3 linked regions of the Lonchura striata genome follow. The protein of the gene in region 3 purifies or fractionates together with the protein of the main gene of each other region. This does not show direct contact. Links are inferred from orthologs where the notes say so. Each region holds a gene or a part of one and is shown on either strand. Other genes may lie near its edges.

Region 1 (3,745 bases), on a different chromosome or scaffold from region 3:
TATATTTACCAATTAACTGGTTTTATAGACAGACCAGAACAACATTGGCATCTATAATGAGATGCATGTATCAATCCCTGTCACACCTCTCTACAAGGTATTGCACCATAAGAGGACCCACTTACACACTGTTACACTTCTGCTTCACTCCCTCACACTTCATGTGTGCAAGCACATGAAGTTCCATGTGTTCAAATGGAAACCTTCAAGCACACATGAAGTTCCATGTGTTCAAGTGGAAACAAATCAGTTTTCACTTATATGCAGACAAAAGAAGCAAGTAGTAAATCAAGTGGAATTATAATATTTTAACTCCTGAGAATCACAGAATTATAGAAAATAGAAATCTTTTCTTTAAGCAGAATGTTTATGTGGCACAACTAAACAAAAAGGAAAAATGAAAATAGTCCACAATGAAGCAAATGATTCTCTCTTGCTTTAGCTGGATTCCAAGTTTATGTTTTAGGAACCACTGAGTGGTACTAGGAACAGAGATCGAACTAAGTATGATTTACAGGCAAAGATTAACATACACAAGGAATGTAAGGCTAAGCCTAAAAGTACAACCGAAAGTTGTATGACTATCACACACTTTTAGAGCATTTCAAACATGTTAGCTATTTAACTGCAGTTAATGTATTTAACAAGACACAGCACCAAGTGTTAGACAAATGCCTACCCATTCAGATTTGTACACAATGGAACCGCAATGAGATTTGCACAAGTTGGGAGAACACTATACATAAACCCTTATTCCTTGCTGGATTTCAGTACATTATTAAAGGTCTGCAACTCAAAAGCTAGCAAAACTAAAGAGGCAGATCAGCTCCACCCCTTCCAATTTCTTTTCAGTCTTCCTATATGAAGGCCAGACTGCTTTTTTTGAGTATTTGGAAAATGAATTAACTCCTAGGCTGTGAGAGTACGTGCCAAGGTTCAGCCTGGAATGAACTTCTGAAGTCAAGCTATAAATCGTTCAAAACAGAAGTTTAATAATGGAAATGTTGACAGACCCTTAACAACACGGGTACCAGGCACCAGTACACAGCGAGTTTCACCCTTACTGGCTACATAGATAAAGTGACAACAGCCAGTAATACAACCTATTTTATAGCTTAGTAACTAAGTTCATTACTTAATAACACTTGACTAGGTAGGCACAGTCTCCATCCAAAACGCTGGTTAACATCATTAGCTTTCGCTCGTATTCACACCAGCACTTAGGTCTTGGTACAAAAATCCCTCTGCTTAAACACCAAACGCTGCCGGAGGCCAGACAGACCCTGCCCCGCAGACCCCACCCCGCTCCTCCCCGGCCCTGCCCCCGCATCGCCCCTTCCCCCCGGCCCTGGCCCGCCCCCTTCCCGGCCCTGCCCCGCATCCCTCCCCCGCTCGCTGCGGCCCTGCCCCGCATCGCTCCCTCCCCGGGCCGGCGCGGCCGAGGCCCCAGGGCTGCGAGCCCCGGCCGCAGCCTGCAGTCGCCGCTGCCCGGGGCGCGGGCGCTGCGCCCGGCGGACCCCGAACGCCGGCAGACCCGGCGTCTGCTTCGGCAATTAACTTCGGATGTGCGTGCGTGTGTACGTGGGGGGTTAATCCCACTCAAAACAGCGCCGTCCTGAAATGGTGGAAAATCACATCCATATTTACTGTCTGACGGGGCGAGGGGGTGTAGGTTTGGCACCACTTCATCGACCCCTTCTATAGAGGGCAGGGAATTGTACCGCAAAGCGACATTCCAAGCGAAGCGTTTTCACCCAAGTTTTAGGGGCTCACCCCCACGGTCGAGGCCGAGATGGCCAAGGAGCGGATGTGGAGATCGGGGCCCCGCCGGAGACAGGGACGGGGCCGGCGCTCGCCCGCCCTCCCGCCGCGGGTCCCGGCCCCGTCGGCGTCTCGGGGCGCGGGAGGCGGCCCTGCCCCAGGGGGAGAACAAATAAAGGGGTGTGGGGGCGGCGGAGAGCCCCGGCCGGGCGCCCCCCGCCCCGCTGGCGGATTCCCGCCCCGGCCCCCTCCCCCACACGCCTCCCCCGGGAGGAGCTCGGCGGGGAGGGGGAGCTCGGCCCGGCCGGGCTGCCCCCGCCCGCCCGCGGCGCGGGCCCCTGCCCTCCCTCCCCCTCACCTGGCGGGAGTGGGCCTTGGGCTCGGGCGGCTTGAAGAAGGAGTCGGGCAGTTTCCGCAGTCGCATGGGCAGCGTGTGTGGCACGTTGGCGCCCTTGGGGTTCATCACGGCGTTGAACAGCGCCTCCAAGTCGGTCTCCGAGTCGCCCCGCACATGGACGATCTGGTGCCCCGCCGGAGGGGGCCCAGCCCCCGGGGGCTGCGCCGCGCCGGCCGGGGCCCCCGACACCGGGCCAGGGGGCTGCGGCGGCGGCTGCTGCTGCTGCGGGGCCGGGGGCTGCGCCGCCTGCGGCGGCTGCTGCGTTTGAGGCTGCCCAGGATCCATGGCTCCGTCGGGACCCCCCGGCGCTTCCCTGGCGGGGCTCGGCGGCTCAGAGCCCGGATTCCCAGTCCCGCATGCCCCGCTCCCCGGGCCGCGGGTTCGTCCTGCTGTCGCCGGTGCTTCTCACCCCTCGGTCGGGAAGCCGACCCGCCCGCGGCAACTGGCAAAACAACTCCGGCCGTGCGGCGCTTCCCCGAGCCCGGCCCAGCCCGGCCGGCGCCTCTGTCCCGGCGGCGGAAACTAACTCACACAACACACCAAACAAAAGTTCGCAGTTACGCCCGCCCGAATCACTCTCCGCCGCCGGCTCCGCCCCTCCTGAGCCCGCCCGCACCGTATCCGAGCGAGGGAGCCCGTGCTCGCAGCGCTGCTGCGCGCGCCCGCCCGCACCGCCTCCCGCCCGGGGCGCTGGGGGCGCTGCGCGGCCCCGCGGACCCCGCTCCGCCCGCGGCCCGGCCCGGCTCCGCACCGCCCCGCACCGCCCGCTGCCGCCAACCAGAACTTTTATTTCTCCCGAACTTCTATCCCAACTTCCAGGAGGCCGCTTCGCCAGGGGGTTGGGAGGGGCGGCCGCGCTTCCCTGCCACCGGCCCGGAGGGGCCATCGGGCCGGGACCCCTCCCGCCGGTCCCCTCCGTGCTATCTCCCGATTCCGCTGAGCTTTCACCGACTGCAGAGTCTCCCCTGCAGATACGCGTCGCGGGTCTGTAAAGCAGGCTCATAAAAATGACGAGACCTCTAGAGAAATACTTTTTATTAAATAACACGGGTGAGGGAAGGGGGGAAACGGCCAAGAAAACAGCTTCCAGAACTACACATACCGGAAAACTACTGTCATTAACCACACATTAACATCTGAGTGAATGACAATTACTTCTGAGCACATCATCAAGGAGTAGAGCTTTCCTCGTCAGAAAACTATGCAATGTCTACCTGAGCCCAACAGAAAGAAGGCAATCTCCATTATAAAACTGGGCACCAGCCAGGTTTATAACTAGTTTGCAAATAGGCTTTCACCGAAACAGTGATACAGAATATTCACGTGTCGCTTGCAGGGATCCACAATCAAGTAGGCAAAAGTCTGTTGGTGGCTTTTGTTTGAAGGGTAACACAGGCCATTAACATCCTGAAAGGAAGAAAAAAACCAAAACCAAAACAGTATTAGGGACAACAGAGATATCTGTAAGAGAATAAAATCTGAAGTTAATAATTTTGTTCCAGTTGTAACTGTTCATTGCACAGCAAAATAAAACAAATACACTGCAGTTTATTTAAATGGTGTATTTCCCCATGAGGATCCCAACAC
Region 2 (3,745 bases), on a different chromosome or scaffold from region 3:
TCTGAGTGACGCAGGGGGTAAATGATGCACAAGGATGGTGGGAGCATTACTGTGTATATGTAAACAGCGCCGCAGCAGATCTGGCACTTCTTGCAACAATGGGCTGGCAGCACAGATGCTGCACCGTACTTCTGTGTGCTCCCAACAGTCTCTTCCTAGCTTTGTCAAAGTCCGAGAAAGACCAGGAGCTCTGAAAAACACCAACCTATCACCTGTGCACAGGACCAACATTCTACAATACTCAGTCCTCAGAAACCAAGAGTAAATTATCGCCATGACTTGTCACAAAGCACAGAAAAAGTGAAGGGCAGTAAGACTGCTAACATGTGTCACTCACAGGACTAAGTGCGACACACACACACAAGCTCAGGTGTCAGAGGCCTATTCTAAGCACTTCTATCAATGCTTCAGATACCCAAAGCCTGAGCAGCCTCAACTTCTGTCTCATATACAAGCATCCAAGTCACTTAAATTTCCATGTACGTATATTTTAAATGCTATCTTCCCCTAAGGATTAATATAATTTCTGGATTTACAAGAGACTGGAAACCACTCAGCTTGCTTCAATCAAAGTACAGTGCTTCTCCCATGCTTTGAAGTGTACCATTGTAATATGGGCTCAGCAGGAAGGCTGCTAAAAAGCTACTAACATTTTTGTCAAGAACCACCTTCAGCAGCTCACAGCCTTAGGCCTTAACTCTTACCTCAAGTTTAATTTCATGACTGTAATTAAAATTATCAGGCACTATCTCCTGCCTAATTAATGTAGCATCTACCAGCAGATGTTAAAATCCCAAGAGGCCCTGAGCCGAATATTTGTCATACCTTGCAGACACCATGCCCATTTCTCTTACCCTCCACAAATGAGATAGAACATGAGATGTTAAGTGTATCTCAACAGGATTTGAAACGTACACCTAACTGCAGAAAGCTTGGAGATAAAGTGTGGAAGGTGCTGCTGTATTATTATTACACCAGTTGTTTGAAAAAAGGTTTGCGTTTTCTTTTGGCAAGCAAATGAGGTAGGCTTTTTAATTCAATATTGAAAATCTCACAAGTATTGGCAGTGTAAGGACGCTAAACAGTCAATATGGAACAGACAAGTGTATGTTTTATACATATGGAACATACGGAGTATGCTTTATAGCTCTAGATAAATGCTGAAGACAAGTTAGTATTTCCACTTGTAGTTACTAAATCCTCCAGGTGGTTTCTCAGCCTTCCTCGGGGACACTGCTTAGGGTGATACCAGCTAACAGGCATCCGGAGAAGCGACATGTTGAACTCCCGGACACCACTCTACCGTGAAGCAGGACGCGGGAGCTGCCCGCCTGCTGGCTGAATCGCTGGGTCCCCCTGCCAGCAGCACGGCACAGCACAGCCGCGCCGCGGCTCCGCACGGGAGCGGGAACGAGGCGCGGGAGGCGGCACAAGGCCACGGCGCGCTGCCATCCGCCGCTGCCCGCCGCGCCATGTGCGCACACACCGCGCGGGGCCCCGCGCCGGACCGGCCCCGAGCCCCTCCCGCGCCCTCCCCGCGGCCGGCCGGACGCGCACCCGCTCCTCCCCGCGCCGCTTTCCGGCCCCGCCAGCCTCCCGCTCCCCGGCCGCGCCGGGCGCGGCCCCGCTCGGGCGCCCACGTGTTGCGGGGCCGACCCGCCTCCCCCCGGCGCCGGCCGCGCCACGGGCCCGGCCTAGCGCGGCCCGGGCGCTCCGCGGGGCGCGGCGGACGGACGCGCGGGAGGCGGCGAGCCGCGCTGCTCGCTGCGGGCCCGGGGGGCGAGCAGCGCGGCGCGGCCGCCCCGCGGGCGGCGCGGGGGGTACCCGGTGTGGCACGGGCACCGCCGGCCCCCCGCGTCCCGCCAGCACAGCGGCCCCGCTAGGCCGGGCCGGCATCCACGGCCTTCCCGCGAGGGAGCGGGGGCCCAGCGCCCCCCGCCCGCCCCCCGTGCCCCCCGTGCCCCCAGCCCGGAGCGGCGGCGGCGGGGCCGCGCTCCGGCGGTACCTGCGCGGCCGGCGGGCGGCGGTGACTCAGGAGCAGCGAGGCGGAGGCGCCGCGCGGCCGGCGGTGAAAGGACCCGCGCTCCCGCCGCTCGCGCTCATATAGAATTAACGTCACCACGTAACCCCCCTCCCCCGCCGCCCGCGTCTCATGGCAACGCGTGCGCGCGCCCTCGCGCCGCCCGCCCGCCCCGGCCGCGAGCGCGCGCCGGCCGTTGGCCGAGGCGGTTGGGCCCGAGCGGCGCGCGGAGCCGGGAGTGCGGCCCGGGCCGCGGGGCTGCCCGCCCGCCGAGCGCAGGGGCTGCCCCGCAGCGCCGGGCAGGGCGCACCGGCCGCCGGGCAGGGCGCCGCGCTCCCCGGCCGCCGGGCAGGGCGCACCGGCCGCCGGGCAGGTAGCCGTGCTCCCCGGCCGCTTCGGTGCTGCCCCGAGCCCGAACTCGAGAGTGTCTGAAGACACCTGAGCATAAATAGAAGTTACTCGGACAGGTAAACTCTATTCACACAGGCCGCAGGTACCATAAAACCACAGTCAGTACAAGCTTATCTTGAAAAACCAAGCTGAGCACCTGCTGGTTCATCAGAGTTTCGGCCATTTCTGCCTTGGCTGGGGTGAGCGGCCAAAGGCAGCAACAGCTCCAACCTTCCCATTTTGACTTGCCGTACTTGCCTGCCGGACTTGGTTTCCTGCAAATGCCTGTTTCCGAGCTCCAAGTAAAGCCGTTCCTAAAACGTATTCCTTCCTAGCATTTGTCTCCATGCTCATAGTCTTGAGTAATAGCACGTAGCACACTTGGAGAGGACATCTGTGATCTACACTAAACTTACAGAAATGTAAATGTCTTTGAGACTTCTAACCTCTTGGTTGGAAGGAGCCAATGATTCCAAATACACTTAGGTGAGATGGCCAGACACGCGGTGTGATGGCATAAGAGCTGTTTGCTGAGGATATATTGCCAAATACTTAATGTGTATTCTTTGGAATTTACCAAATTCTTCCATCTATTTGTCTAAGCAATCTGCACCCTGAATGCATCTATTTAAATAATGAAAATGACAACAGAAAGCAAAAGAAGAAAAAGTGGTGATTCTGCCAAGTATCTGCAGTACATTCTATATTAAGAACAAGGAAACTATAAAAGATTCTATTCCATATGGTGCCACACCAGCTTTGTTCCAGTGTTTGGCAGTAAAATCTCAGGCCCCAAAACCAGATGTCTTTGTGGGAAATAAATCCCATCTGCAAGACAGAAGTTCATGGAGAGAACTTAAGGATGTCCTCCTATTCCCCCAGCACACTAAATTTTTAAAGGTGGGCTTCTTTCTATCATTCAGTTTTAAATAGTTTGAGACCACAAAGCTGTAAGTAGGAAAGAGAAGGATTCAGGACAAGGATTGCACAGCATAGTCCAAGTGATAGGAATTAGGGAGAAACAGAGATGGAGATGCCACATGATTTTAAAATTAAAATACCTGTACCCCCACTTGCAACCCTTTTAAAATTGTACTGGATATTAATGTCTAATTTATCCGAGGTGTTTGGTGCTTGGGAATATAAAGAGGGCAGAGATGTACAGAAGGCATTTGGTAAAAATGAGCAATCGATTGCTATTATTGCAACAACAATTACCTGCCATTTGCAGGCGTTCCCTTTATTCAATCAGCTAAAGTGGCAATCAACTGTAAACAAGTGAGTCACAAGGCAATGGCTCACCTTGCCTGTCTTTCTGACATCTGCCACCTTGTG
Region 3 (3,745 bases):
TAGAAGCACCAAGCGTGACCAGCACTTCCCACCGCCGGCTCCCGCACAAACCGAGCGGCGGCCGGGCACGGAGCGGCGCGCCCCGGCATCGCCCCGGCACCGGCCGTTCCCATGGCGGGAAAAGGCGGGGCGGCCACGGGGCCACCCCCTTGTCCCGGGCTGAACCGCGCGGCCGCGGCGGGACCTGCGCGGCTCCGCCTCGCCCGCCCTCGGCATCATCGCTGCGCGCCAGCACCGGGGCGGGGCGGGCCCCGTTGCCGGGTTACCGCTGTCATCCGCCCGCGCCACCGCCGCGCTCGCTCCCTCTCCCGCCCGCCCTCCCCGCCCCCTCCCGGCGCCGCAGGAAGCGAGCGGATCCCGGGGCGCTACTGCCGCCGCTGCCCCCACCGCGCCCGGCGTCCCCGGCCCGGCCCTGCCTCGCCGCCCAGCGCCCCGCGCCGCCGCTCCCCCCACATGCCGCAGAGCGGAGCGGTCGCGGCGCCGAGCCCCGCCGCCCGGCTGCCCCGCCGCGCCGCCCAGCCGGGGCCCTGACGGCCCCCCCGCCGCTGGAGCCGGGGCCCGCAGTGCATGAGAGGGAGAGCGCGGCGGGGGCCGCGGCCCGAGCCACTCGCCTCCCGGCCGGCGGCGGTGCGGGGACCGGCCCGGGGGGCGCCGAGGGGCGGCGAGGCGGTGGCTCCATGTGAGAGGACGCGGCGGCGCACCTGATCCGCCGCCGGGACAGCCGCAGCCGGGGGCTTTCCTCGAGGGCCACCAGTCCGCAGCCCGCCCGGGCGGGAGGGGGCTGGACCCGCCAGCCCCTTTGAAGTCACCCGGAGCCCGGCGGCAGCCCCGGGGCGGGGGGGGCAGCGGACCCCCTCCCGCCGGGGGAGAGGGGCTCCGCCTCGCCGTCCGCATCGCCCCGCCGGCGGGAAGGCGCGCGCGCCGCGAGCGGAGGGAGAGCCCGGCGGAGCCCGTCCCGAAAAGTGAGTGCGAGCGGGAAGAGCCGCCTTGGGAAGGGGCTGGGTGCCCCGGGGCTGCCGGCGGGGGGCCGGGGGCCGCCGTTTCCCATGCGGCTCACGTTGCCGGCCGCGCACGGTCTGCTGCCCCGCGGTCCACCCGCCGCTCCCGCCCGCCGCGGAGACGGGGCGGGAGGGGGGTGCTCCGCCACGGTCCCCGGGGAGGGCCGAGGTCTCCTCCGCAAGTTCTGCCGCCCGCTTTGTGCCGGGAGCGGCGCCCCCGCGAACAAAGGCGGCGGGCTCGGACCCCTCCGTCCCGTCCCCGCCCGGGGAGCCGAGCGGAACTGCCGCGGCGGAAAGTTGTGCAAGGTTGGGAGCGGAGCGCACGGCCGCAGGGCTGCGAGCCCCGAGGGTTTCAAACGTCCCCCACCCCGCTCCCCCGTTTTCCTTCTCTTCTCTATAGGTTGAGAGGCTCCTAACAGACCCCGCGGCTGCCTCCTGCCCGCTCATTTACAAAACACTTAGGTGGAAAATGTAGCTCTTCTTTTCACGGGAAAACGTTATTGAAGAGTTGCTTATTTTCCATGTAAAGTATTTTGAATGTGTTTTAAAAGCCAGGAGTAGTGTTGGCTCTTCCTGTTTATCGGACTAGTTGCTGCTTCATGAGGCACGAGAGTGCTCTTGCTCTTACTCCAGACCTTACTCCAGGAGTGGTTAAAGAAGGGTCTCGTTTGGGAATGGGACTGTTTGCTTGGGTTCTGTTTTGCTTTGATTTTTAGCATTTCCGCCCCGTGCATAATTTCCCGCTGAGCAAAAACTGTATCAAAACTTGAAATGTTTTAATAGAGTATCTTAACTTTCTTTTAACTGAAGCAAACAACACCTCCGTAGCTTGTCGGGGAAAAAACAATTGTGTCTGCTAGTGTTAAATTGTACTATTTGGGTGTTAAAATTTATACAGCAGTTTTTTACATGTGAGGAGGATGTACTAAAAAATGAAGAGAGTAGGTTGAATGTCGTTTATTTGATGAGACAGTGTTCAGACAGAGATCCAGAAATTGTAACTCTTGTGTGGAAACTGTTGTCTGCATGTATGAGTCCTCTCCACATCTTCCTGGAAGGAGTCTAGAAAGCCTTTGAAGGAGAAGGTTGTAGGGTTTGTCGGGCTTTCCATTAAAAGAAATGTACAGCTTGTGAACATCCTGTGGGCCAGTTGCTAGGCGCCTGCTCTCCTGCGCTTTCTTTACCAGATGCAATTGAAAGCAGAGGAAAACAAAACGTAGCAGAAATGTACGCAGTTGCTGAAATATATGGGTGTGAACAGAAGGCCATACTCCAGCATTCCAGTTATGGATGCTTGCTCTATGCTTCAGTTTGTGCAACGCTTTTGAGAGCACTTACCGCCTGTTTCCCAGCTGTATGCTTCTACATTCTGCTGAGGAGATAGCCTCTGAAAACCTGAGAAAACCTAGACATAGATAGGAATTTTAAGGTAGGCAGGGCATCTGATCTTTCACAGTTTCGTTTTGAGACACAGTTTGCTGAAGGTAAGAAGATTAATTTCTTTAGTTTGAAGTATCTCCATATCTTAAGCTTTCTGTCGTTGCTATTTTGAAAAGGGGTGTAAAGAAGTTGAACTCTACATTTGGTTCATTCCTAGCTTTTCTCAATTGCAGAACTCAGTGGTTAGGAAAGGAAGTTGCATTCTTTTCAGGCCACAGTGTTAAGAAGTTGGTAAGTTCTGTGCTAGATTTAATATCTACAGGAGCATAATGACACCGTGTCTTTTTTTTTTTTTTCCATGTGTTGATTACACTTGTTTTAAGTCACTTTCTAGTCCCAAACTTAAATCTGCCCTTTTTCCATCATCATCCAGTTGTTAATGGCAGCCTGGTTCTGTCTCTTGATGGCAATTATGCATTCTTGCTGGTGTTCCAGGTTCATAAATATCTCAAAAACATATATCACTTCATGTTTTTAATTTTTTTGTCAAGGTTTAGATTTTTCCTCCTACTGCAGCTTATATCTAACCAGTGTAGGTCCTTTGTTCAAGCTGAATAATTTACTAATACAACACTGTCTGTTTGGAAACATAAATGTTTATTAGAAAGTATGTGATTTACATTTGCATTAACTGTTAGAAAAGCTTTTACAACAAATAACTTTCTAGTTTAGGGAAAGAAATACTTTTTATCTTTAGACTTAGGCTGACAAATTAACTTTACTTCCCCTTATGTATGCACGCGGTACTTTGCAAAAGTTTAGTTCATTACTTCAATGGAATTTTTTGTCTCTGAACCAGTAAAAGAAAGGAATGGTGTGTGATGGTTTAGGCCAGGCAATGTTACTAAACAGAGAGGAATGCTACACTTCTGTCTCTTTAAAATAAACAGAGTTTTAAAAATTAGGATGGTATTTAATGAACATGTTTAATCTTCTGAATCTTTTTGTGAAGAGCACATGCAATGGCTGTATGTACATTACACTTGAAATAAAAGTAGCATAAAGATCTTATCTGCAGAGCTGCTTCAGCCTTGTCATATGTGGACTGTGTGTGTCAGGTAATTCTAGAAAGACATGATAAACTTTGCGTCAATTGCTCATGAAAATGCTCTTCCACAACAAAGTATTGTGCTTTAGTCAATTTGTGGAAACTGATGGATGGTTCAGTACTGAAATGCTCCAAGTATTCACTGGATAGACAAAATCTATTTACTGTGATCACTGCTATGGATATTAAGATAGTTTCTTGTGACAGCAAAGACTACAAAGATTTTAGATATTTGTCTGATGAAGACCTACACCCATGT

Evidence for each region.
Region 1: the proteins of FBXW7 (region 3) and YAP1 purify together in Homo sapiens (affinity purification with western blotting; 4 studies listed by BioGRID). This does not show direct contact. The link is inferred for Lonchura striata from reciprocal best matches to the Homo sapiens genes FBXW7 and YAP1.
Region 2: the proteins of FBXW7 (region 3) and NAP1L1 purify together in Homo sapiens (affinity purification with mass spectrometry, with the first as the bait; 3 studies listed by BioGRID). This does not show direct contact. The link is inferred for Lonchura striata from reciprocal best matches to the Homo sapiens genes FBXW7 and NAP1L1.

What each region holds. Positions count from the first base shown.
Region 1 is NC_134604.1:42,222,087-42,225,831, reverse strand, and holds the start of YAP1 (transcriptional coactivator YAP1), read right to left. Parts: upstream 2,702-3,745; 5' UTR 2,444-2,701; coding exon 2,120-2,443; intron 1-2,119. Other genes in the region: CFAP300 (cilia- and flagella-associated protein 300), read right to left, coding at 3,434-3,565. UniProt on the Homo sapiens protein: Transcriptional regulator with dual roles as a coactivator and corepressor. Critical downstream regulatory target in the Hippo signaling pathway, crucial for organ size control and tumor suppression by restricting proliferation and promoting apoptosis.
Region 2 is NC_134607.1:46,986,681-46,990,425, forward strand, and holds the start of NAP1L1 (nucleosome assembly protein 1-like 1), read right to left. Parts: upstream 2,137-3,745; 5' UTR 2,006-2,136; intron 1-2,005. UniProt on the Homo sapiens protein: Histone chaperone that plays a role in the nuclear import of H2A-H2B and nucleosome assembly.
Region 3 is NC_134606.1:43,089,894-43,093,638, forward strand, and holds the start of FBXW7 (F-box/WD repeat-containing protein 7), read left to right. Parts: upstream 1-820; 5' UTR 821-962; intron 963-3,745. UniProt on the Homo sapiens protein: Substrate recognition component of a SCF (SKP1-CUL1-F-box protein) E3 ubiquitin-protein ligase complex which mediates the ubiquitination and subsequent proteasomal degradation of target proteins.